Nothobranchius furzeri: one gene and its partner. The protein of the gene in region 1 purifies or fractionates together with the protein of each later gene. This does not show direct contact. Links are inferred from orthologs where the notes say so. Each region holds a gene or a part of one and is shown on either strand. Other genes may lie near its edges. The genes, in order: polr2i and med19a.

Evidence for each region.
Region 2: the proteins of polr2i (region 1) and med19a purify together in Homo sapiens (affinity purification with mass spectrometry; 3 studies listed by BioGRID and IntAct, with this or other methods). This does not show direct contact. The link is inferred for Nothobranchius furzeri from reciprocal best matches to the Homo sapiens genes POLR2I and MED19.

The regions. Positions count from the first base shown.
Region 1 is NC_091753.1:27,219,117-27,232,575, forward strand, and holds polr2i (DNA-directed RNA polymerase II subunit RPB9), read left to right. Parts: upstream 1-7,508; 5' UTR 7,509-7,702; coding exon 7,703-7,767; intron 7,768-7,900; coding exon 7,901-7,955; intron 7,956-8,370; coding exon 8,371-8,444; intron 8,445-9,670; coding exon 9,671-9,745; intron 9,746-10,851; coding exon 10,852-10,903; intron 10,904-11,060; coding exon 11,061-11,123; 3' UTR 11,124-11,392; downstream 11,393-13,459.
Region 2 is NC_091741.1:91,559,936-91,572,393, forward strand, and holds the end of med19a (mediator of RNA polymerase II transcription subunit 19-A), read left to right. Parts: intron 1-3,098; coding exon 3,099-3,232; intron 3,233-3,315; coding exon 3,316-3,412; intron 3,413-3,493; coding exon 3,494-3,588; intron 3,589-7,408; coding exon 7,409-7,474; 3' UTR 7,475-7,739; downstream 7,740-12,458. Other genes in the region: slc43a1a (solute carrier family 43 member 1a), read right to left, coding at 9,981-10,160, 11,800-11,920. UniProt on the Homo sapiens protein: Component of the Mediator complex, a coactivator involved in the regulated transcription of nearly all RNA polymerase II-dependent genes.

The DNA of each region.
Region 1 (13,459 bases):
TATTCAGGTATTTACTACGGAAAACAAACAACAGCAGGCAGCAGCAGGACTCCCCATGTTATTTCTCGGGTCGCTGGCCCGCGGTCGTCGGGGCCGCTGCGGTCAGCTCTTAGGTAGAGCCGGGAAGCCCTCGTTCGGCTGCGTGGGCTGCTTCACCGTGGACCAGCTCCCAGCAGCCGCTGGTCGGGAGAAACGCTCTGGCTGCAGCTCCGATCAGACCCTACCAACACCTCGCCACAGACAGCACCGCATTAAAAGCCCACAATTACGACCCGCTCCCCAAAGTTACAGTTCTCAAGCACTGATGAACACATACATAACCCACAACAGCTATGAAATGTGTGTTATTTACGGCAAAAAGGAGATATTTTCAAGCCGACGTGCCACTGTTAACCGCAGTTGGCTTGGAAATGTGCTGATTTTATTATTTTTGTCAATTAAAATCCCCCTTGTTTGCTCTTACGTTTTACGAAAACGCAATATTAATTAAAGCACGCTTTAGTGATCAGCATGTAAAGCAAAGAAGAAATGTGAACATTTCAACCCATTTCGAACCAACCAGTAATATGATTTCTTAACACGGTGCAGCGGCAGCATTTAAAAACCAAAATATAGTTTTTACTCTCCAAAAAAAGGAGAAGACAGTCACGGTGCAGCAACCCATTTTAGTCCATTAATCTCCACAATAAATATCCAGACAGAGAATTTCTACGGCCTCCCTGTAAACTCCAATGTCACCCAGGACCAGTCTTAAAGAGACAACGTGCTTAAAGGGAAAGTGTGTAGATTTCTGGCAATAGGGGGTAGTAAATACCAAAGTCACTGCAAACAAGCTGTATTTTTTGTTCAAGTGAGGACCTTACTAACTAATGCTTATAAAGCCAACAAAACCCTCTGGACTCTAGCTGTAACTCTCAAATTAGGATATGAGATTAATGACTCTGGTTCACGCTCCAATACATTAATTGTTTGAGAAATGCATCTTTTTATGTTGAGTGCCATCCGCCAAATAACACACAAGAAAAGGAAGAAGAAGAGTGTTGTTGCACAGTTTTCAAAGGAGTCAAAAACCACCAGCAAAACCATAAATACAGCTAAATAAACATAGAATCCAACATGGCGTCCTCCAGAGAGTCGGACCCTCGCCTGTGTATTTTATTACTATGAAGGGTACATGAACTGATTAGGAACACAAGGTCATAGAGTCAAAGGTCAAGGTCGTGTGAGGTCATATATATATATATATATATATATATATATATATATATATATATATATATATATATATATATATATATATCAAAAATTGCCTGAACGGGTTGAATGATTTTGACCAAATCAGAGGTGATAGCTCCCTATCAAAGGTAGATAAACTGATCAGGTCACAACCTCATAGGGTCAAAGGTAAAGGTCGTGTGAGGCCGTATATATGAAAAATTGTTTTTTGTGTGCAATATCTTCTGAACAGGTTGAAATACTTTGACCAAATCGCAGGTGAGAACTCCCTATCTAAGGTAAATAAACTCATGAGGTACAAAACCTCATAGGGTCAAAGGTCAAGGTTGTGTGAGGCCGTATATATGAAAATTTGGCTTTTGTGTGCAATATCTCCTGAACGGGTTGAAGGATTTTGACAAAATCAGAGGTCATAACTCCCTATCAAAGGTAAATAAACTCGTCACATACACAAGCTCATAGGGTCAGAGGTCAGTGTCATGAGAGGTAATATATATGACCAGTCAGGCATATCCCGCGACGCTCTGCATCGATTTGCAGGGCTTTCTTGTTTCTACAGAGTTTATGTAGGGTGCTGCTGGTTTGGGGTGTTATGTCAGCAGGCAGAGTTTAGGAGTCTGACAGCTGTGGGGAAGAAACTGTTTCGGGACCTGGTAGTCTTAGTCCATAGGCTCCTGTAGCGCTTCCCAGAGGGCAGGAGGGTGAAGAGTCCATTCGATGGGTGACTGGAGTCTGATGGTTTTCCCTGCCCTTTTCAGACACCAAGAAAAGAGGAGAGTAACTTTATTTTGTTTGTGTGATTTTATTTTGTTGTGTGACTACTGGTTGCAGTTCCCTGTTCAATTGATTGCTGTTCCCTGTTAAATTAAAAAAAGAAAAAAGTCTAAAGTTTTGTTTTGACTGGAGAGAACTAAAAAAGGTTACACTGTCTTCTGGTACTAGCTCAAAATAACAAGTGGTGCTCGCTGCAGAACCACAAAGGCGGAGCTGCACCAGAAGGTGGAGCTGCACCAGAGTCAGCCCCGCCCATTCCAGAATCAGCCCCGCCCATTCCATCAGAGTCAGTCTAATTCCTTCCAGTTGTCAGACTTGATAGCATTCTGGAATCAAAGAGGGTGTTGTAGCTAAAAAATGCGAGATTGAGGACGGAGTTGAGAAATTAATTGAACAGTTTTTGTAAAGGTTCCATATAATTAAAAATCTAACTTTTGGGACTTTTAATCATGTTATATTGTCATTTCCTCATAAGAAACACGCCAAAGCCATTTTTAGCCTCATTCATGCATTTTCCTCCCATCTCAGCTTCAATTTGGTCTCCTCCCCCGAAGCGGGTCTGGTCTTGGTTCTCAAATCTGGATATTCTGTGAATTTTCTGACAAATTATTTCTGAAATGACTTCTACTCAGACACCGCCAATAAACCATACATCCCATCTCAGAGACACACTGGGAAGCACAATTACATGTAACGCCACTTGATTTATAACAGATGTGGTGGTGTAGTGGTTATGGAGTCAGGTTGACATGCTGTTTCGCCTCCCAGTAGTGTAAGTTTTAGGTAGTTTACAACCTCTTTTCTTCATTTCTAGCTACACTTGCCAGTACTATGTTTACAACAATTTACTGGTATACCGTTTAACATATAATGTGTTTTTTTTATTTATTTATTCGTTTATTTAGCCAGTGTGAGTCCATTTGTGAGCAGAGTTTCAACTAAAATGCTGTTTAGGAATGACCAAATTCAAAGAACTTTTAGCGACATAAATATTTTGCTGAAAATAAACATTACAACTAAAATATAAACAAATTGAATGTATCAGCTGGCTAAATAGACTGCTGACGACCCCACCGAGAATCGAACCAGCAACAGCTGAGGGGAAAGCAAAAACCATCTCAGACGATTTTACCACTAGACCACCAGAAGCCATTCAATAGACTGAAGTGCTGTTGTACACCACTTTTATTAGACCAGCTGTAGGCAGATATTCGCTAAAAGAAACCTTTTCATTTCGAGATATATTCAGTCTTTGTCATGTAGCAAGTTATATTTATCTTGTTTAATTGGAGCACAGAACATAGCATTAACGACTGTAAACTAGTAACAGCCGTAATTCATGTGGGTCAGGTCAGTTTGCGATAAAGTTGAAAACAAAAACGGAAGTCAGTGGGCTAGGCTGAGTTTGCGTGAATGGGCGGGGTGCAGCTCCGCCTTTGTGGTTTTGCAGCGAGCACCCTCTCCAAAATAACCACAGTTTTTTCCCTCAGTGTCATTTGATCTATTTCTTGGGAAGATGGGTGGATGGATGGATGGATGGATAGATATATATATATATATATATATATATATATATATATATATATATATATATATATATATATATATATATATAATTATTTTTAATATAGCCTTTTTCAATACCAAACTTTCAATACCAAACAAAAATGAACTACAATAAAATTGCTGGCACACTAAATTCCAATTCTCCTCAATGGGACTTGAACTCGCCAACTGATCTCCCTTACACTACACCAAACAAGGTGCTTTACTTGATTTGGGAGGGGGGAATAAAAGCAGTAAAACAATAAAACTTTGAACATTACAACACAAAGAGAAAATAAATAATGTTACAGCAATTGCGGAATGCCATCTGCTGGATTCGAACCCGCCGCAACGACCAACCAGTAGGTTTCAAACCATGACTAATGAGTTCAAGCCTTGGCGCTCAGGGACACCCATCAGTATGTGATTGTGAGGCCACAGCACATACGTTTTAGACTGGGTGGGATTCTTATACCCAACAGGAGTCTTCTGCCCGCCTTCTCATTAGAATATGCATAATTTGTGTTTCAGGCACTAGTTAACTAGTGAGCTGCTGCACTGCCACACATGTAAAGTGGTGAAATTTCAATTGTTCCACTAGTTAACTAGTGGACAAAAATGGTCAGCTTGTATGTGTTTTTAGATGTAACTAGTTAACTAGTGAGCAAATCCGCACCTCACTAGTTAACTAGTGAGGTGCAGATATGCTCACTAGTTAACTAGTGAGGTACTAGTGAGGTGCAGATATGCTCACTAGTTAACTAGTGAGCATATCTACACCTCACTAGTTAACTAGTGAGCATATCCGCACCTCACTAGTTAACTAGTGAGCAAATCCGCACCTCACTAGTTAACTAGTGAGCAAATCCGCACCTCACTAGTTAACTAGTGAGCAAATCTGCACCTCACTAGTTAACTAGTGAGCAAATCCGCACCTCACTAGTTAACCAGTGAGCATATCTGCGCCTCACTAGTTAACTAGTAAGCAAATCCGCACGTCACTAGTTAACTAGTGAGCATATCTGCGCCTCACTAGTTAACTAGTGAGCAAATCCGCACCCTACTAGTTAACTAGTTGGTTTTTTGGGGCCCACTAGTTAACTAGTGAGCATATCTGCACTTTACAAGTTAACTAGTGATGCTTTTTTGCACCTTACTAGTTAACTAGTGGGCGCTTAAGGGTGCACTAGTTAACTAGTGAGCAAATCTGCACCTCACTAGTTAACTAGTGAGCATATCCGCACCTTACTAGTTAACTTGTGGGCGTTTTGGGGCCCACTAGTGAACTAGTGACACTTATTTTGCACCTCACTAGTTAACTAGTTGACATTTGTACCCTCTCTAGTTAACTAGTGAGCAGTTCCGCCTTCACAAGTTTACATGTAAGTGTCACACTGAAGCCACTACTAGTTCACTAGCTGAGGTTCCTCTGGCCAGCATGTTAACTTGTGTGCCACATGCAAATGTTTGGGGTGGGATTTTGCAAAATTCCACACTGTGATTGGTTGTCATATTTTATTTTAACATAGTGAGCCAATAGAAAGCCTCAATTTGAGAAATTCTCTGCCTCCTAATTAGAATTCTGTGCAACTAGCTAGCTAGTGTGAATGTAGGCTTGAACTAGTTTACTAGTATACATTTATGTCCTCACTAGTTAACTAGTTTGGACAATGGATGCATCAACTAGGTAACTAGTGAGCCTGCTACAATCAACTAGCTAGCTGGTGAGTTTTTAATGGTTCACTAGTTAACTAGTGGCACTGACCTACTCCAACTACTTAACTAGTTAGGAGTTTTGCCTTCACTAGTGAACATGTGGACACTTTGAACTGTCACTAGTTAACTAGTGAGACACAAAAACCTTCAACTAGCTGACTGGTATGCATTTTAGCCCTTACTAGTTAACTAGTGAGCCATTTTTGTGTCACCTAGTTAACTAGGAAGCCAAAATGTGTTCACTTGTCAACTAGTGGGCATTTCTTCTGTCACTAGTTAACTGGTGTGCACATTTTGGCCATCACTAGTTAACTAGTGAGACACAAAAACCTTCAACTAGCTGACTGGTATGCATTTTGGCCTTTACTAGTTAACTAGTGAGCCATTTTTGTGTCACCTAGTTAACTAGTGAAGCCAAAATGTGTTCACTAGTTAACTAGTGAACATTTCCGTCTCCCACTAGTTAACTGGTGGGCTCATTTTGACCCTGACTAGTTAACTAGTGAGACACAAATACCTTCAACTAGCTGACTGGTATGCATTTTGGCCTTTACTAGTTAACTAATGAGCCATTTTTGTGTCAACTAGTTAACTAGTGAAGGTCAAAATGTGTTCACTAGTTAACTAGCGTGTACAGTTTGACCCTCACTAGTTAACTAGTTGACCTGTTGACAAGATATCAGAATTAATGCTCAAGCGGCTGGCCAAATTGGGCAAAGTTAACAAGTGGGATTTTTACATTCAGTAGTCAGCTAGTACAAGTTTTTGTACCTTACTAGTTGACTAGTAAAAACTAAATGTGTTTTAACTAGTTAACTAGTGGACATTGATCTGTCCACTAGTTAACTAGTGAACACACTGAGCAATACTAGTTAACTAGTAAGATATGAAACATTTTAACTAGTTAACTAGAGAGAATTTAGGCCTTACTAGTTAACTAGTTGACATTTAGGCTGTCACTATTTAACTAGTTGACACAAACATGTCTAACTAGTTAACTAGTGGACAGAAATGGCTTACATGTTCATGACAATGCTGGCTGATATCCTGATATCAGAATAAATGCTCATTTGGCATCAGAATAAATGCTCATTTGGCTTGCCATAGAATGGCGTCTTATATAATTTGTAATGAGCACAACAGCAAAAGCATTAACCTTCGTAGACCCTGCATGCACATATGGAGGCTTTGGCTTCTTGTTCTATAATGTTTTATTCTCTTCAACTTAGACCTTTTTTTCATTATTTAGAGACACTTGATATTGACTTAAATTTAAAAATGTTCTCTTTTTATTTCTGTTTTTTATTAAATTTGCTGATATTTTTATTTGATTTCATCTTACATCACACCAAATACAAATTTGGGTCTCAGAAGGTTTAACTTTGCATGCTTCCAACAAACAGCAGTTTACTTATGTGGTGTTGATGCTGTTGTAATTGGACATGGTGGTGGTGTAAAAAAAAACCACCACAAGCCTACAGTGTTCCCCTAAACTCTCAAACAATCTTGCAGTAGTGACAAAAGTATTCACAATCACAATGATATTCATTTAATCATAAAACACTCAATTCAGTTAAAATCTGAGATTCTTGTTTACTATGACTTTACATGATCAGCTCTGAGCCTGACCGAGGCTGAAAGATTAAATTAGGCAGAAATTTCCATAGACTATTATGTCCCCTGATGACATAATAATCTGAAGCGAGAGAAGGGGGCACGCAGAATAAAATCTTGAGAGGTGAAGGTTTCTCCTAGAAAAGAGAGGAATGATGATAAAGAATAGAGAGAACGTGTGTGGATTTAAAAACAATTATATTTATGTATGGAACATGGACATAATTGGGGGGGGGGGGGGGGACATGTCCCCCAACTTTTTCCAAAGTCAAGTTTTGACCCCTGCACTTTTTACCATTAAAAACAATATTACTTTATATTAAATTGACACTGGTTGAGCTCTAGGACCAAGCGGAAAACAACCGTTTGTGTTGAAGCCTGTTTCCCATTAGAATATACTGTAAAGATTACCCCCCCCCCCCCCCTGTCCCCTCCACTTCTAAAGTGAAAATTACCTCCATGGTATGGAAGACTGAAGGCTTGTTTGGATTAGTGTCATCAGTCTCAAAGTATTAATTTTAGGCTGGGTATTTCGTTAATTTAATTTAATTTAATTTAATTTAATTTAATTTAATTTAACTTAATTTAATTTAATTTAATTTAATTTAATTTAATTTAAAGTTTAGATTTTAATTAAAATTTTGTCTCCCAGTCAGTAGGTGGCACTGTCTCAAACTCATCCAAATCCTTCCTTGGCGTTACCCGGAAGTATAAACAGTCTGTTTTCTCTCCACTAGAAGCTGTAGCGGCTTTATCTAGTGACGGAGTAAAGCTTTTGTAATATTTTTCTATCTCTTTTCTTTAATAAATATTGTTTATGATGGATTTAGACGGTGGAAACTACGAGCCGGGTTTTGTAGGCATCCGGTTTTGTCAAGAATGGTGAGTTTTGGGACCGTAAATCTTTGACAAAATTGACTTATTTTGTAAATAGTACGTGCGCGTTAACTAATTTAGCTTCTTTAGTATTCTTGTTAATTTAATAAAAACACATTAACCACGTTGTTCTCCCCAGTAATAACATGTTGTACCCCAAAGAAGACAAGGAGAATCGCGTCCTTCTCTATGCGGTGAGTATTTGGTTAGAAGTCATTTAGCTCACCTCAGAAAATAAAAGTTACGTCTCAGACTGACGGTAAAACCCACGAGCTTGTTTAGAGTTAATTGCAAGTTTATAAACAAGTTTCCAGCTTAAACTCTTACTTCTGTAAAGTTTTCCAGTCAACACGCTAAACCTCGTTGAGATTTTAGATGTTCACATGGGATGAAATGGGTTGTTTATGGATTTTATTACATTTATAATTTTAAAAAGACTCTAAAACAAAGTTTTATTGTATTGAATGTGGATATGAAGAGCGTGACAGTGTCTTTATTCGAAATATATTGGTTTTTTTCGGTGTGATGCCAGTTGAACAATGTAATTCACTAAAGAACATTTAATCATGTTGCTTTATGAATTGTTTTGTGCATTTTATCACTCTCCAGTGTAGAAACTGTGACTATCAGCAGGAAGCTGACAACAGCTGCATCTACGTAAACAAGATCACCCATGAAGTCGAGTAAGTAATGACAAGGGTTTCCACATATCACAGCTTCACCCTGTGGTGCCACTCCTCTCCCAACTTTACCATCTTATGCTTTTATTGTCACTTAAATTTATTTATCTTAACCTTTTTGAAAAAAATGTCCCCAAATGCTCCATAAAACCTCTCGTTGCCACCCGGAGATGGCCTACTTATTTTAACTGAGAATCTTACAGTCACATATGAGCTGTGAGAAATTACTAATTCATCGGATTTATCATCCACACTAGGGTAGACGTTTGTGGCTCCACGCGAGCAAGATGCTTTACAAGAAGTTGATTTCTAAAATCTAAACAGATGGAAAATCACAGTTATGGTAAATGTAGACTAAGCTGTGTATCCTTATGAGAGTAAAACAGCAGTCAGGCTTATTATTAATGCCTGGTCGTTTGTGAGCTGGCAGACAGACGACTGTATTTTTACACTTTTGGGTTACATAACCAACAATAAGTTAAGGTGCTCTGAACGTATTTAGAACATACAACAGACTTAATCTGTCTTCTGAAAAGATTGTCCTTTTTGGTTTATACACTGTACTGTACTTTGTATGCATTACCTTTTAAAGCAATATAAATATATATTTATTTGATTTTGTTTTACTGTTTCATTTGTTTTCATGGATTTTCTGTGACAGTAACTGTTCATCATACATGCGAACAACATTGCAAATGAACTAGTCTGTCATTTAAAAGAATATTTTGGTCTGTATTAGGTGATTTTCTTTGCTGAATTTGTAATTAAACGCTATCTCTCTTGTTGTAGATAGCTCCCTGAATGGCCTCAGTTCAGAAAAATAAGGTGCACCGGACTGATAAGCTAAAGGCTAGTCTCAACCAGACACAATTTAAGTGTGTTACTGTCATTATAAAATAGCTTTCTTGGAGGCTCATACAAACTTTATTCTGTAGGTTTTTCCACTTTATAAACCTTTTATGTTTCTGCATCACCTGGTTATTTTAGTAGAAGTATTGAGAACGTCCTGTCATGCCTGAACGTGGATGAACCAGAAGTGCTACACTTTTCTGCTACTGGTGATTTTTATGCACATAACTGAAAAAAAATCTTGTAAATATCTGTCATGCAAAATCACTGACACCCTTGTAAATGACACTGTTGTAATGTAATGGCTGATACACTTTTAAATGTCCATCTTTTTAGATTAAAAGTGAGGTGATAGACTCTTAACATCTTATTCTTTTCAGTGAATTGACACAAATCATTGCTGATGTAGCCCAGGATCCAACACTGCCGAGAACTGAGGATCACCCCTGTCCAAAGTAAGTTTGTTTTCAGGCATAATCGGGGTTTTCTAACCTTCAGTACAGGAAATGGTTTTATTGGGCTTGACTGTCCACAAACAAAAGTCTAAATGTAAATTTACTTTACACTAATAATAGTGTAAAAAGCAGATTCCATCAGATTAACGTGTTTCAGCATTTTAGAGTTAGCATTTAACTTGTTTGTGGCCGTCATAAACAACCTGACCCTTTGTTTTGTTGACTTGCTAACGTGTGTTTATACATATAAGTTCTTTCTCATGCAGAATCATAAACATATGCACCATGAGACCTGGCAGACCCTAAATGTTATATTATGCAGCAGATGAACTATATTTGTGGAAAAAATATGTGCGAAAAGGTAAAGGGCACATTTCTTCATCAAACTGTCAGGAAAAAAGGTTAAAGAGCAAGTCACCCCCTACCAGAGTCAAACTCCACTCCCACTTCATGTTTGAAAAATGCAACAAATGCCGTTGCCTGCAGACCGAGAGGGCGGAGCCGCTAACAAACACACACACACACAAGTTCACAACAGCATTGTGACATCATAATGTACCAGTTTACATCATAGCATACCTCTTAGCCAATAGCGGTGGCAGATTTAAATTCAAATACAGTGCATAGTTTTTACCTGACAACGGCACAGAACTGACAGTTTTAGGCAGAATATTTAAATTTTAACTAAGATGCACTGAAGTGCCAAATTATTGACTACACATGTCTGCAGCACGATTAGACACTCGTTTATTTAGTTTATCAGCAAAAAAAGTTTATTTGGGGGTGACTTGCTCTTAAGTTCTTTGATAGGAAATGTGGTTTTACCTTGTCTTTTATCATACTTTTTCTGTTTGTCTGCTGATTTTTTGTTGTTCATCATGTCTATACATGCAGAGCTATTAAGCAGCGTTCTCAGGCGCAGGATCTCATCCGAGTTTATTTTATTGATTAAAATAAGAGAAATTGTTTCCAGCATGCTGATTTTCATACGAAGAACCACAAAAACACATTGTCCTCTACAGTTTTTCTTTCTCTCCTTCTATGCTGAATGTCAGTAAACTATGAAGGAAATTTTCTAACAATGGCTTTCATCTGTCATTTTTGAGATGTGGCCACAAGGAGGCAGTGTTCTTCCAGTCCCACAGCATGAAGGCTGAGGTAATAAATTCTTGGATGTCTGTAAAACACTTTCTATCAGGGAAACTACATCTGTTCGATGGTTATAAAACCATAAAAAAAACAGTGCAGTTTTTCTGTTTAACTGAGGGCAAAAGATAAATAAAAGTGCCGTTATTTATCTTTTTTTTCTGTGCAGGATGCCATGCGTCTGTATTACGTGTGCACAGCGCCTCACTGTGGACACCGGTGGACAGAATGACAGCTTCCAGCATTTGGATCTGTAGCATTGCTGTCTGCCAATTGTAAATGTCTGTCTGAGACCTGTAGACTGTTTGGTAACAGACACTTTCTGATTATGATGTGTTCAGGTGTCAGTTTCAGATGTATGTTGGGTTTTTTTTTATTAAAAAATTTTACTCAACAATCTTTTGTGAAAACAGGATTTTTCTTGTTCATCATGATTTTTGTCTAATCATCTCAGTAGCAAATACTTTTTTTAATAAACTGACAAACTACTCTAGAGTTGAATATGTGTCGTGTGTTCACTGTTTTACTTTCTAAAAAAGCGGAAGAGGAATCTCGTTGGTTATTGGACACATTTTGCTTCAATACAGGATAAAACTTGGAACAAATGGTTTCTACTGGGATGCTGTTGGGGGAGAACATTTGTCCAGTAAAGATGTTTACAGTTCTGAATTACTTTAGTAACTTTCTGGATTACCACATTTTCCTCCGTTTCATTCAATCTGATGGGAATTTGTGGTAAATTTGGATGCAATTTTTTTCACTGAAAATGCGTGTTTTTAATCACATAATTAAAATATGACCATGTTTATTAGTTTAAGTTTTTCATGCAGACACCAGAAAACATGTCGGTGTAATTTCACTAATATCTGAAACCGTGTGGGTAAGTTGTACATTTAATTCATGAGTAATTCAGTTCAGAGTGTTTCATCACTAACAGACCTGAGTCGGGTCAGCATCTGAAATTTTACTGGTTCTCTTTTAGAATAGAATAGACTTTGTTCATCCCACAGTGGGGTGATTCACTTACAGCAGCACAAACACTCAGAATCATTTGAAGAAAAATAATAAAAAAGGTACATGTTTTTAAACACAGGCAGTAAGCTGTTATTGTATCCTTCAACCACTAAAAACCACCCCAAAAAATGAAAAACTTGGGTTCCAGAACTATGCAGAAAACTATTAGGGACACAGTTTTGTTTTTATTCCTATTATTCATGAGCTGAACTCAAACTTCTGAAATTTTGTCTACATATACGACAGACCTATGACTCTGAAATACTGTTCTGAAATTCAATTTAATTCAAGTTTATTTATATAGCGCCAAATCACGACAAGCGTTGTCTCAAGGCACTTCACATAATAAACTTTCCAATACAGGTCAGTTCACTAAGCCAATCAGAAAAAAGTTTCCTACATAAGGAACCCAGCAAATTGCATCAAGTCACTGACTAGTGACTAGTGTCAGTGACTTTACAGCAATCCTCATACTAAGCAAGCATGCAGCAACAGTGGAGAGGAAAACTTCCTTTTAACAGGAAGAAACCTCCAGAGGATCCTGGCTCAGTATAAACAGCCATCCTCAATGACTCACTGGGGATCGAGAAGACAGAGCAGACACACACGCACACACACACCAAGTAGTGTTTCTATGGTTGCATTGTGATTTCTTAGTAAATATTCTATTTGTTGTATTACGTCCTCTATTGGTGGATATGGAGAAGGACGGGGAGTAACACAGAGGCATGTGTTTCAGTTGTGGAAATTGTAAACATTGATTTTATTAAAAGGATTTTAAAATGACAAAAAGCTCCAAATCTAAAAGTACTTAAACACATTGTTAAAATGGCCAAGGGTTTACGTTTAAAACAGACATCCGAATGCTCCCAAACATTCACAAAGCAAATTCCACTGACTTAAACACAAGTTTGGGAGCCAAGAGGTAACCAGCACTCTGGTCCCTCGTCTGTTAAAAACCTCTTAAGCTTCTCTAAGCTTAAAGAACTAAAACCCATTTAAAAGCCATTAAAACACCAATAAATGGAGCACATGAGAGAACTGGCACAGATCCAGTCTCTCCCTTCTTCTTCTGTTGTTTAATGGCGGGTGGCAACCAACTTTCAGGTGTATTTCCGCCACCTACTGAATGGGAGTGTGAGTCGAAGTGGGGGATTATCCTTTAAAAGAAAAAAAACTAAATTCTATCAAGTAATCTACTGTCCCTTAAAAAGTCTATGACTAACTTATACACCACTAGTCCCCCATTTAACAGAATACCCAGCTCAAATTCCTCATATCCTTTAACTTTTAATTTTTCAACCAACAATTTCCTATTACCGACATATTTTCTACAAGCACATAATACATGTTCTGCTGTTTCCCTATCAAGTCCACATTCACACATTATGCCGTCCAAGAATAAAAAGTGTACTGTTCAAAGCTTTATGTCCCATTCTCGTCCTGGTTACCACTGCATGATTTCTGTTACTCATTTGAATGATTTCCATTCTTCCAACCTTTCCCTTTAATTTGTATAAATGTCTTCCTTTCACGTCCCTTATCCATTGTTCT
Region 2 (12,458 bases), on another chromosome or scaffold:
AAGGTACAATTATTTTTACACATAGGCAGCAGTCTAGAATTGTTAACCTTTGACCACTAAAAACCACGAAAGAAAATAACGAAAACTTGGTTTCCAGCACTGTGCAGACATGCTATGTAAAGAGAAGATGAGAAAACGCTTAGTGTTTCAGAAAACTACTTAAGATTACGTGAGATGGTTTATAAACTCAGTACTTGGTTTAACCTTTTAGCGTGAATGGCTGCATCATGGAGGCCATCAGCCTGTGGCTCTGCTGAGGTGTGATGAAAGCTCAGGTTGCTTTGACAGCAGCCTTCATGTCATATGCAGTGTTGGGTCTGTGTCTCATCTTTTGGACAGTAACCCAGATTCTCCATGGGGGGGTGGGGGGAAGGAGGGGTGTCAGGTCAGACCAGTTATGGGCCATTCCCATCTGTACCGGGTCGGCCCGGGCCGGGTAGCCCCAGTCGGCCCCAGCCTGGCCCGGTTGATTCCACACATCCTTGCCTTAAGCCCATATGGGCTGATTCTACCCACCAATCAGAGGCTTGCTCTAATGGAAGGTGTGAATTTGCTGTCAGCAGTGGGTGTGTTGGATCTGGTCGGCCTGAAGCAGACCCCCTCGAGAAGAGGGCTGAGAATGAGCCTTGGTTGGCCCGGAAAAATACCAGGCCACCCAGATATGTAAACAACCTACGCTACCCGGCCCGGGCCGACCCGGTACAGATGGGAATGGCCCATTAGCTGTCAATCAAGCCCAGTAACACTAGGATCATTGAATCAGTTTCTGGTACCTGTGTGAGCAAGTACAGGATCCTTTTGGGAAAAAGAAACCAGCATCTCCATCAAGCTCATCATCAAAAGGACGTATGAAGAGCTCTAAAACGTCCTGGTAGTAGAGGTGTGAATCTCCACTAGTTTCGTGATTTGATACAAATACAATCATGTCAAAAGTCCCACTAGTTGTCACACACACACGTGTGTGTGAGTGTGTGTGTGTGTGTGTGTGTGTGTGTGTGTGTGTGTGTGTGTGTGTGTGTGTGTGTGTGTGTGTGTGTGTGTGTGTGTGACATTTGATCTTTGCATTTGACCCATCCTCTGGGGAGCGGTGAGCTGCCGACACAGCCACGCTCTGGAACTATTTGGTTTAATCCCCAATCCATCCCCTTAATGCTGAGTGTCAAGTGAGGAGGCACTGGGTCCCATTTTTCAGTTTTAAGTGTGACCCGACCAGGATTTGAACTCCCACTCGATTCCCGATCCAGTCCCAGGGTGGACACTCAAACCACTAGGCCACTGAACTGATTGTCAACGATTCAATTTGATATCTCAATGCATCACGATTATTTCTTATGGGTTTACTTTCATCAATTAATAAAAGATGTCAGATATTTGCTTTTCTATCAAAACGTGTCTGACGCAACATGTCATTCCCCAAGAAGCCCTTCAATCACAACAGTCCTTAGAACAATGTAAGAGTGCAAAACATTTTAAACATTTAAAAAGATTTAACGAAGAAAACAAAATCTGTTTTCTCATTCAACACTTACATCTCAGGCTGTGGGGAAAAACAAGCTCTGCAAATGCTACCAACATCTTAATAAATACTGAAAACCTACAGGACATGTCCAATTCTTGCCTTCCATAGTTGACAAAATCTGTTATGGGGCCATGTAATAGCTTTGAAGGTCTTTGGAGCAACTTTAGAATCAAATATTTATGCTGCTGTTAAAAAACTGCATTATACAATAATTTATCATGGTGGGCCTTTTCAATGATTTGTAATTAATGTCTGCATCTTGATGCATCGATTATTGATTAATTTCCTCAGCTGTACCTGGTAAATTTCTGAGTTTACTGTGGACTTCAGAAAACACAATGGACCAACACCAGGAGAGGACATGGAGCCCAAATCATTAGATATCAACACCACACCTGGACTTGAGGCTTACTCTGCAACTTTTTCATATTTTTACATCGTTTTCTTTAGCCAGTATGTACTAAAATGACCCTTAGGGTGAAAAAAATGTCACTCAGACCCCCACCGCCCCCTGTGGCCAGAATATCACACTTGCAACTTGTCCGGTCCCTGATGGACTTAGTAAAGTGGAACTGACATGCTTCTTTAGCAATGACTTTCTATGGTTTCCCTTCCTTGTGGTAAAAAAGTTATCCGTGCATCCCTAATTTACATAATAGGTCAGATGAATTTTTTTAAACAAGTGACAAAATACTATACTTTTTCAGGATTTTCTACCTGTATTTGTCATCGTTTAAGCCAGGGGTGTCAAACTGAAATTCACTCTGGGCCAAACTGGAGAAACTAGAACAAAGTCATGGGAAAATGTTTATGGATGCAAATGCTTAAAATTTTCTTTATCTTCTGATTTGTGTTGTTGAATGTTTTATATGGAAACAAACCATAGTCTTGCATTAATAGTTACTCTGGAATAACCAAAGTTTAAAATTAACAACACACGGGCAGTTAACTTTGAAATAAAACACATCAGATGGAAACTGAGCAGAAGCCACAGAGTCAAATTTGAGCGTTTTACTACACCGGAGCTCATTTGGCTCCATTTGGAGGTTGCTTTCTGCGCTTTTCACGTCGGCCACAAATAGATTACTGAGCTGTTGAAATCTTGATATTTGGGCTTCAAAGTTGGCAAATTGCTGGGTGCTAACTAAGCAGTCATTTTTTTGTTTGTCTGAGACCGAATCTGTGGTCTCCAGGTCCGCAGCCGTACCCTCCTCGAGACTGGTAGCATGGATGCTGCTGATAATGCAGCAAAGCATTCTGGGATCTGTAGTATTGGCAACATATGCACTGGCAGGTCAGTTCTCGAGGGCCAGGGTTTGACTCCAGTGGCTTAAGCTATAGTTAATCTAAACCTGCATTCTGACAGGTGCTGGGACTTCTGGGCGCTCTAATGAATTAGACTTTGAGGGCTGAGGCTGTATCTCTAAAACCAAAAGTTTAACTTTCATTGTTTCTGATTTGTTGTTTTTTTTTAGCCTCTTTAATCTCACCTGGACTCCTCACTATGGCCTGTAAATTACACGGATCCCTTTCAGCCACGCTCTTTATTTCCACTTTTATAGTGTCTCTTTTGTTGCAGGTATGATCGACTGTCCGGGCACTCAGGACGGCAGCTCTCTGCGCTCTCTGATAGATAAGCCTCCCGTTTGTGGGAACTCGTTCAGCCCGCTGACTGGTGCTCTGCTCACAGGATTCAGACTACATACAGGACCGGTACCACAACACTGATTATGCCTGATAATAAATGATCATCTTATCCCCGTTATGTAACATGTAGTGTTTTTTTTTTTTTCCAGCTTCCAGAACAGTACAGACTGATGCACATACAGCCCCCAAAGAAGAAGAGCAAACACAAACACAAGCACAATCGACCACAGGACCCCCTCCCACAAGGTCTGGTGGCGTGTTAGTGAGGTCAGCTGAAACAAGTGCTACGTGTTTTTCACCACACTGACACGTCTGTTCTGATTTTAGAAACTCCGTCAGACTCTGATCCCAAGAAAAAGAAGAAAAAGAGGGACGATGATCCTGACCGCAAGAAAAAGAAGAAAGACAAGAAAAAAAAGAAGGTGAGAAAATTTTAAACACTAATTAAGTTTCTAGCTGGGCATTAAAAAGATTTAAAATGTTGACTCGGAATAGCATTGTGACATAAGTCGCACAGCAGTTTTGTTTTTTCATCCAGTTCTCAGTATTAATGAGTACACCCCCTTTGAAGAGTACAAATTTAATCAGTAGCTCAATGAACTAAAAAAATTTTCCAGAATTTTAACAAGGCTGGGTTTTATTAAACACTTGCTTAACTCCATAACATGAAATTAAGGCTATTAATATGACTTGGATCACAAAATCTTCAGTTTTGCTAAAATTGGTTTTAGCAAAAAGGAATACACCCCTCAACAAAAACTACTACATCAAGTCTTCTAGGCATGGCATGAACAAGATGGTGACATATTGCAACATCGGGCTGCATGGTGGCACAGTTGTTGCACTGTCGCTATTTCTGCGTGGAGTTGCGTGTTCTCCCCATGCATGCTCGGGTTTCCTCCGGGTACTCCGGTTTCCCCCACAGATCACAACATGCCCTATAGGTTATAAATTGTAAGTCGCTTTGGATAAAAGCGTCTGCTAAATAAATAAACATAAACATTAACATCTATCTTTTTCCATTCTTCAAGAATAACGTGTTTTATAATCTGGATGCTGGATGGAGAGTGATGCTCAACCTTCAGAATTCCCCACAGGTGTTCAGATCAGGAGACATACTTGGCCATTCAATCACCTTCACCCTGTTCTTCTTCAGAAATGCAACAGTAGCTTTAGATGCGTTTTGGATCATTGTCGTGGTGGAAACGTGCACAATGATTCAAATTCAATTCAATTCAAAGATACTTTATTAATACCAGAGGGAAATTGATTGCTGTAGTAGCTCAGAATAATAATAATAATCAAGTCATCAAAGAGTTATTGTATATTACAATGGCTGTTGGCAGGAAGGATCTCCAGTAGCGGTCAGTGTTGCAGCCAAACTGAAGAAGCCTCTGACTGAAGACACTCTTCCGTTGTCGGACAGTCTTGTGAAGAGAATGCTCAGGGTTGTCCATCATTTTCTTGATTCTCTGGAGAATCCTTCTTTGCATTATCCCCTCCAATGATCAAGTGCATGGAGTGATGGCTGCATCTTCTCCTTCAGTATAGAACAGGACATCGTTGAGTTCATGATGCCATCAATGAAATGCAGCTCCCCAACACCAGCAGCACTCATGCAGCCCCACATAAGGACACTGCCACCACCACCACGTTTCACTGTAGGCACCATGCATTTCTCTTTGAAATCCTCACCTTTACAACGCCATAGTTTTGAAACCATTACTTCCACAAACTGTGATCTTTGTCTCATCACTCCAGAGTACAGAGTGCCAGTAGTCTTCATCTCTTTCAGCACGGGCCCTAGCAAATCCTAGGTGTGCTTTTTGTGCATGAGCTTTAGGAGAGGCTTCCTTCGTAGACAATACCCATGTATGCCATTCCTCTGCAGTGTGCGTTGTATGGTGTCATGGGAAACGGTCACTCCAGTTTGGCTTTCTACTGCTTTAACTAACTGCAGTGAACTTTAATGGTGATTTTCTTCAGTCTTCAGAAGACGCTCCTTTTGAGATGTTCACTTCCATGGACGGCCTGGACGTCTCTGTAAGATGGTTGCACTTTCGTCTTTCTTACATTTTTTGGTCTTACATTTTTTGGTCACTTTTGCTACAGTATTCTGACTGATATGTAAAGCTTGGCTGATCTTGTAGCCCTCACCTTTTATGTGTAAATACATTATTTCCTTTCTCAGATTTTATGACATTTCTCTTCCATGTGGAGCCATTGCTGGCAGCATGAAATGGGAAAGGCTTTCTTTAAAGGGGCATTATGGAAGTTTGACAGCCAAAACATTTATAGAAATAATAAATTTCTTCTTCATACATTCTCCTGCAATGCCCTGGTCCTGTAGAATGAGCCCTGGCATTTTTACTGTGATTGCCTGTTTTTCTGTAAAATCACAGAAAAAGAGAGCTGCTCGGGTCGAGCAGGCTGCTTCGTGCGCGTTCACGCTCAGGCATCGCCCTCCGAACCGTTCTTTGAACGTTGTTTCAGCTGTCATCAAGGATATAAATGGTACAGATATGAAAGATGTCACTGGCGCTTTAGCTCGCCTAGAAAGATGTCGGACTTTCGTGCGGAAGACCCGGGTTCGATTCTGGATGTGGACATAGTTAAGTTAGAGTTTCATTTTTACATTAATGGTATATTTTTTACAGTAAGATGCCCAAATTTTTATTTGAGACTCGCCAAACAGCATTGAATTCACAGATAAAAAAGATGTGGGTTCAACTTTCATTTTGGAACAATTTTTCAAGCAAGGGAAGGGAATGATCTGAGCATGCAGGAGGACTGACCCATCATAAACCTTTGTCGGCTGTGCTGAAGAGAAAGGTGCAGAACCTAATTATTTAATTAATTAGCTGCACGTTCTCCTGTCCTCTGTTCTCCGACACACACACACACGGAGCTGACTGTCTCAGCTGCTATTTTCATTAAGGAGTGTGCACGTACAGCATGCGCGCCTCGTGCACGAGCCCACTATTGAAGCTGCCGTTACCTTTTGGCCTGAGGGGGCAATCGCGAGCATAAAAATTCAAAACTCTGTAAAGTCCCTTTAAGTAATTCCCTTTTATAATCACCTGTCTGCAGGACACCTCTTAAATAAGACATTAGACTCATCTGTGGTTGAATGCCTGTTAATTAGAATTGTGTAGTCTTCAGTGTGACTTTTCTCCTAAGACTATAAATAGGGTGTACTCATTTTTACAACATGGTCTTGACCAGATTTGTTAGGAAAATCATTTTTTTGTGTGCAGATAAACAAATCTTGTTCAATGGCCCACATTTGTGGGAGTATTTTTTGGTATCTCATAGAAATGTTGATTCTGAAAGAAAACTAAAGGTTTTCTGACAAATGTAGTGGGGTGTACTCATTTATGCTGGGCACTATTTAACACAATACAGCTCTCACTGTAATCACATATGGGCTTTGAGAAGTTGTTTCATATTTCATCAATTAGAATTAAACTGCGTTTATAACAAGCTTTTTGATGACTTCTGTGATTTTATCATGGTTTTAAAGTATCAATGTTTTCAATGTAATTTTATTGGTAATCACTTTATTTTGGGAACCAAGTGTTGTATTTATTTAATTAAAATATACAAAGCTAATATTTTCTCTGGTCTCAAGTAGCTAATTCAATATTACAAAGTAAAATATAAGGTTTTCAAGCTTTTATTCTTCACCTAAAAAAATAAAACTTACAATCTTGCTTCTGGAAGTGATTAAAGAATTTGCTGCAGCTTCAGATTTTGTTGCTTCATTTAAATTTTGCCTTTCACTTCCAGAGCTGTTTTAGACTGTTTACCTGTTTCTAAATGTCAGCTTCTTCTTGTAAAAAAAAATAATAATTTTTTTTAGTTTTTTCCCTGAGACTAATGTGAATAAATAAAATGTCAATAAGGACCACCTTCTCTAGATGGTAGGTAGAAGACCAAAATACCACAGAGGCTAGAGACAGCCCGGATTCATCCGGGGTGGGCATCGGGACAAATCTCTTAACTAGGAATAAACTTTTTCTTTTGTTAAAGATTGATTTTATATAAAATCTACATCTGAAATCCTACATTTATTTGTGGAGTAGCTTGTGCATATCTGCAGAAATGAACCCCATGTGCACTCAGGATGCAGTCTCAGGTGTTTTAATCAGATTATATTTAAACTCATGTAGTTTATGAGAAACTAAACACTCGTCTTCAAAAACCTATTATGTAAACCTTTTTTCTTCCTCTCGGTTCCAGAACCGCCACAGTCCAGACCACCCGGGCCTCACTGGATCACAACCCAACAGCAACAGCCTCAGATAGACAGAAGCCCACTGTGTGTTTGTGTGTGTGTGTGACTTTTGTAAGAGGATGCATGTGTGTGTTTTACAGATAAATGTATTAAGAGTATGTTTTATGGAAGTAATGGATGGCTGCAGAATGTGTGCTGAGTCTGTGGCCACTGGGTGTAAATGTTATGAGACATTACAGAAGAAGCAGATGAACCATTGAACAGTGAGAGTATGTATTTCTTTAAGTTTATCTTTTGACCACAAAGCCAAAATCAAATAAATTTTGATTATCTTTGTGTGTGTTTCAGTGTCTGCGGTTATTTGAACTCCCTTAGGTTTAACACAGTAACAGCAAACAACACATTCAGTTTAACATTTTTATGTTTATCAAATGCAGCACAGAGTAGATGAACTGACCAAAGCCAGGATGAAAATGTAGCTGAACGCTTCAACCCACAATGCTATGGATGAAATACTGGATGTGATACAAACTTCAAATACAAGCCAAGTAAATGATGCTTGAATTCAACTTAATACCAACAAACAACTGAGTCTAAAAACCAAACTCCAGGGTGATGAAAAGTGAAAAACGATAGTTGTTGAAGAAAACCTGCATGTTTTACCAAGAAAACGTCACCACTGAGATCCAGTTAACTTTACAAACTAACAATCGGAATCAAACTGAGTTTTCATTGCTTAATATTCACGCCGTCCCGCCCCGAGGTGAAACGCTATTCCAGTCTCAAAAGACAACTTTGGTTTATAAAGGCAGAAATTTGGCAGAAGTTTTTTTTTTCTCAAATTTACAATAAAGCTGAGATGGAGACAAAAACATCACATAAATCATTTAAAGGAGCCTAAAAGATTCAAACAGCACTTTTCAAAATATTTGGAAAAACATTTTACAACTGATCTCACAATCTGTACAGCCAACATCTACCTTCTGTTCTGTTTTCCTACAACTGACTAAAAGCACGCCATAGCCAGATGTTTTCATTTTTGTTGTAAAATTACACGGGAGGAGCCGCAGCCTGAACACACCCAGAATAATCCGAGTCGCACCTCGCTTCTATTTACAAAAGGTTTGTTCACGTCTTACCCCGGTTTCACACTTCAAGCATCAGCGGAACGGAACGGCAGTGAAGCGGCACCGCTTCAAATAGAATCTAATCTATGGAGTGTTTCAAACCAGCCGCGACGCGACAACTTCCAGGCACGTCCCAGAAGCGGCATGCCGCGCAAGATAGGATCGAGTTCTATTTTTTCCGCGAGTCGCTTCTGGGACACGTCAATTTCCGCAGTTCACATAGTGTGAGACGGGAAACCACACGGTTTCAGTGTAAAATCCCCGGTTATTTTCAAAATAAAATGCAACGTTGCGCTGTTGGATATCTAACTTACGTCAGTACATGTGACCGAACGGCATTGTTTACCACCAGTTTCTTAGAAGTGCAACGGTGTGATTCCTCGCGGGGGTTGTGATCTCTCGATGAGGAAGGTGTCGGAAGTCTCTAGGGATTTTAGAATCTCGCGGGTACAGCGAGGTGTAGCGAGGAAGCCGTGCTGCGGCCAAGTCTCTCCCGGTGTGAAGAGGACCGCTCTGAAGTTCGCGAGTGAGCCGCTCCGCTGCCGCTCTGTTCCGCTGATGCTTGCAGTGTGAAACCGGCTTAAGACCAACAGAAGCAGAAAACGCGGAATCAGCTGAGCTCTTTTACAACAAGCCCTCTACAAAATAATCTTCCCTTTTAAACACTCCTGCAGCTAGAATATAAAAAATACACCTGCATACATTGTTTTATACACACCCTAGTTCATTTCTGTGCATAAAGCTGTACAAAGGGTTTCAATCACATCTTCCTGAAAAAAATGTTCTTCCTATTTAAATAACAGAAATACAGAAATGTTTGGGTTGCATCGCTTTTGTCTCTGAAGGAAATTTCAATTTATATTTTCTATTAAAAAATTACAAACGAAAAAAAAAGGAACGGGGGAGGTAGATTCACTTTTTTTGAGTGTGGGGGTGAAAAAACAGGCTCAGAAATAAGTGTATGATAATGAAGATGTTTTAAAGAAGCATCTGGATCATGTTTTCAGAGGTAATTTAACAGAAAAATCTATATCCTGTTAAAGTTTTGAAACAATACTGACTAAAACGTTCTTATGTTCTTTGGTGTTTCAGCAGGATTGTGAGGATTGTCAGAAAACTACAGATCAGTATTTCAAGTACCGTGATATCTGCACTCTGCAATTAAGGTCTATGGCTTTAATGGACACAAGTTTGGCTCATGGAGCTGAAGCACAATAAAATACACAAACAGCAGCAAAAAGGTGATGACACGCCCCCCCCCCCAAGTCTGACTGAACCGTAACAACTCCATGACATAGATCAGCATGAGCAAAATGGACATCAGCAATGACCTTGAAAACAAACAAAAACTATGTATAAAAAGAGTTGCCTAAATGTGAATTTACATGAGAGGCCTGCTGGTGTTCGTTCTGAAGGCACAAACTAAAAGAGTCTGAAGCTCTGCTGGAGCCTAGGCATCGGTGGCCGTAAAGCCGTTACAGTGACCATTAGCTTCACTGTGTTTCAGGGTCTCCATCTCCTGACTGGGTGATGGTTTCTTCTTCTCCTTCAGCAAGTTTCTACGGTGATAAAACAGGTAACCTGGCAACAGGAATCCAGAAAACGAGAAGATCAGCAGCCCAACGTTGATCTGAAAGAGCAAGCGGACAGAGAAATTGGTTTCACCTTTTTATGAGGGGACAATAAAAAAAATTATACAACAGTTTATGTAAGGATAAAATGGGATTTAAGCACATAATAACTTGGGATTTTACTTTTATTAGTACTTTTTTCTGCTAATAAGGTATATTTCTTGCTGATTTCTTAGTTTTCTGTTTGGCACGGTTAACAAGGCTGCCAACTCTCACGCACTGAGCGTGAGACACACACATTTGACCCTCTTCACACGCTCTCACGCCACACCTCCAATCTCTCGTGCTAAACCAGCGCCTGCGCTCCCCAAACGCGCATCACGCACAGTGTGTAGGACTCACGAAAAAATAACCCATGATATTCATTATAGCATTAGCTACTGAACAACATGCACACAACAACACTTAAGTAATAATTTAACTGGCGTTATTTCACACATAATCCCATCTGTATAATCCAAGCTGATGTGCTTTTTTCTACTCTGGTTGTGGGATGGGCGGAGCGGTGAGCTCCACCTGCTGTTGATTGGACGGGCATGCACGGTTCTTTCTCCTAGAACCGTGAGCTGCGGCTGCAAGCAACACCAAAATGACATGCTTTATTTAGAAATGCAGCCGCGTCGCCAGCCAGTGTTGACGGGGCTTCAGTCCAGAATGTTTTTCTTTTGTTTTCACTCATCAGCCACAGATCGTCGCTCACAGCAAGCTGGGCTTCCTACCGTGGTGACTCACTCACATGATCCCTCTCTACATTAGTTGGTGACGCAGTGAATTAAGACATTAGGAATCCTAACGTTTTAATGTTTTAACTCACCACTTTACCTGTGTGTTTTTACTGTTTGTGAGTCGAACCCCTCCTCCATAACCAGGTTACTGGTACGGAAACCTGGAAAGGCCAAAATTCCTCAAACGTTTTTTTTCCTACTGACTCATATGAATTAATAGAATAGAATAGAGTAAATTTTATTAGTCCCACAGTGGGGACATCCACTCATTACAACAGCACACACACTCAGATTAACAGATTACAGTAAAACTGATTCCAGCCATGTTTGCTTTGATAACTTCAATAACTTCATGCTGATGACCAACATGAACATAATCCTCTGTTTAGTGGATGCAATAACATCAAGAAGTTAGCATAACATGACAGATTGTTTTTCTTGGCAGGAAATAACTGGTAATATTATGATTGACATGATATTGCCCACCCCTAGATGGAATTTAAAAAAATTACATTAATTATAATTAAAAGTTCCTGTGTGACATGTAGCTGTAACTCTTTAGATAGATAGATAGATAGATAGATAGATAGATAATGTGAAGAAGTTCAGGAAAGCTGGATGTTAAATTGTCCTCATGAAAAGAAAATTTGTATTAAACAAAATTTTGAGAAAAAGTCAGAATTCTCTTTCTTTTCTTTTTTTTTCTTGTCCATGGCTCTAATCCCCTTCCATACAGAGTAGAAATAAATAAATAAAATGTAGAGCACAAAAAGTCTCAATATTAATACCCCCCACCAAGTTTGTTTACTCTGAAGTCATGTTTGATCTTCTGTGTGTGAATTCTGTTTTTTTTTGTTTTTGTTTTTTTTTGCTGTGTTGTGTAAAATGTGCAGAAATGAAGTCATTTCCTCACCCAGTAGGTGTTGCTGATATGTTCAACCATAACGATGAAGAGCGGCTGCTGCAACAGAGCAACTACAGCGCTGATCATGGACTGGAGGCCTGTCAGCGTCCCAAAGTGATTGGATGGGTAGCTGTCCAGGAGAAAAAAGTTAAGATGTTAAGAATAAGTCAATAGTTAATATTTATATTTAGTTTAATTGGTTGTTTTTATGCTGAAGGCATTCCAGAGGCATGGGTGGTTTATTATTAGGGCAAGCGGGCAATGCACCACCAAAGGAGAAAGATACATCTTTTTTCTAACATGAAGTCCAGATCTACTACTTTGGTCTGCTTGTTTGTCTTGTCCTATCAGTTTTAAGCCTTGTTGCTTGATGTTTTGCCCCTTTCTGGACAATGTCAGACTGAGAATCACCCTGAGTGCTCACAAGGACTGTAATGCAAAAGTTTATTTCTTAACATCAGTTTCAATAGGTTCTGGTAGGGCTCACGCTTGCGTGCTTTTGTCACATGTCACATAAAACCTAGCTAGCTTACATTTTACAAACTGAGCTAACAGTCATGGCCGATGGTCATGGCTAGTTCTCCGAGCAACTTCATTGTCTCTCTGAAGGAAAATCCCTTTAACCGCTGTACCAATGAAGAAAAACGACAATAAAACTATTAGGATCA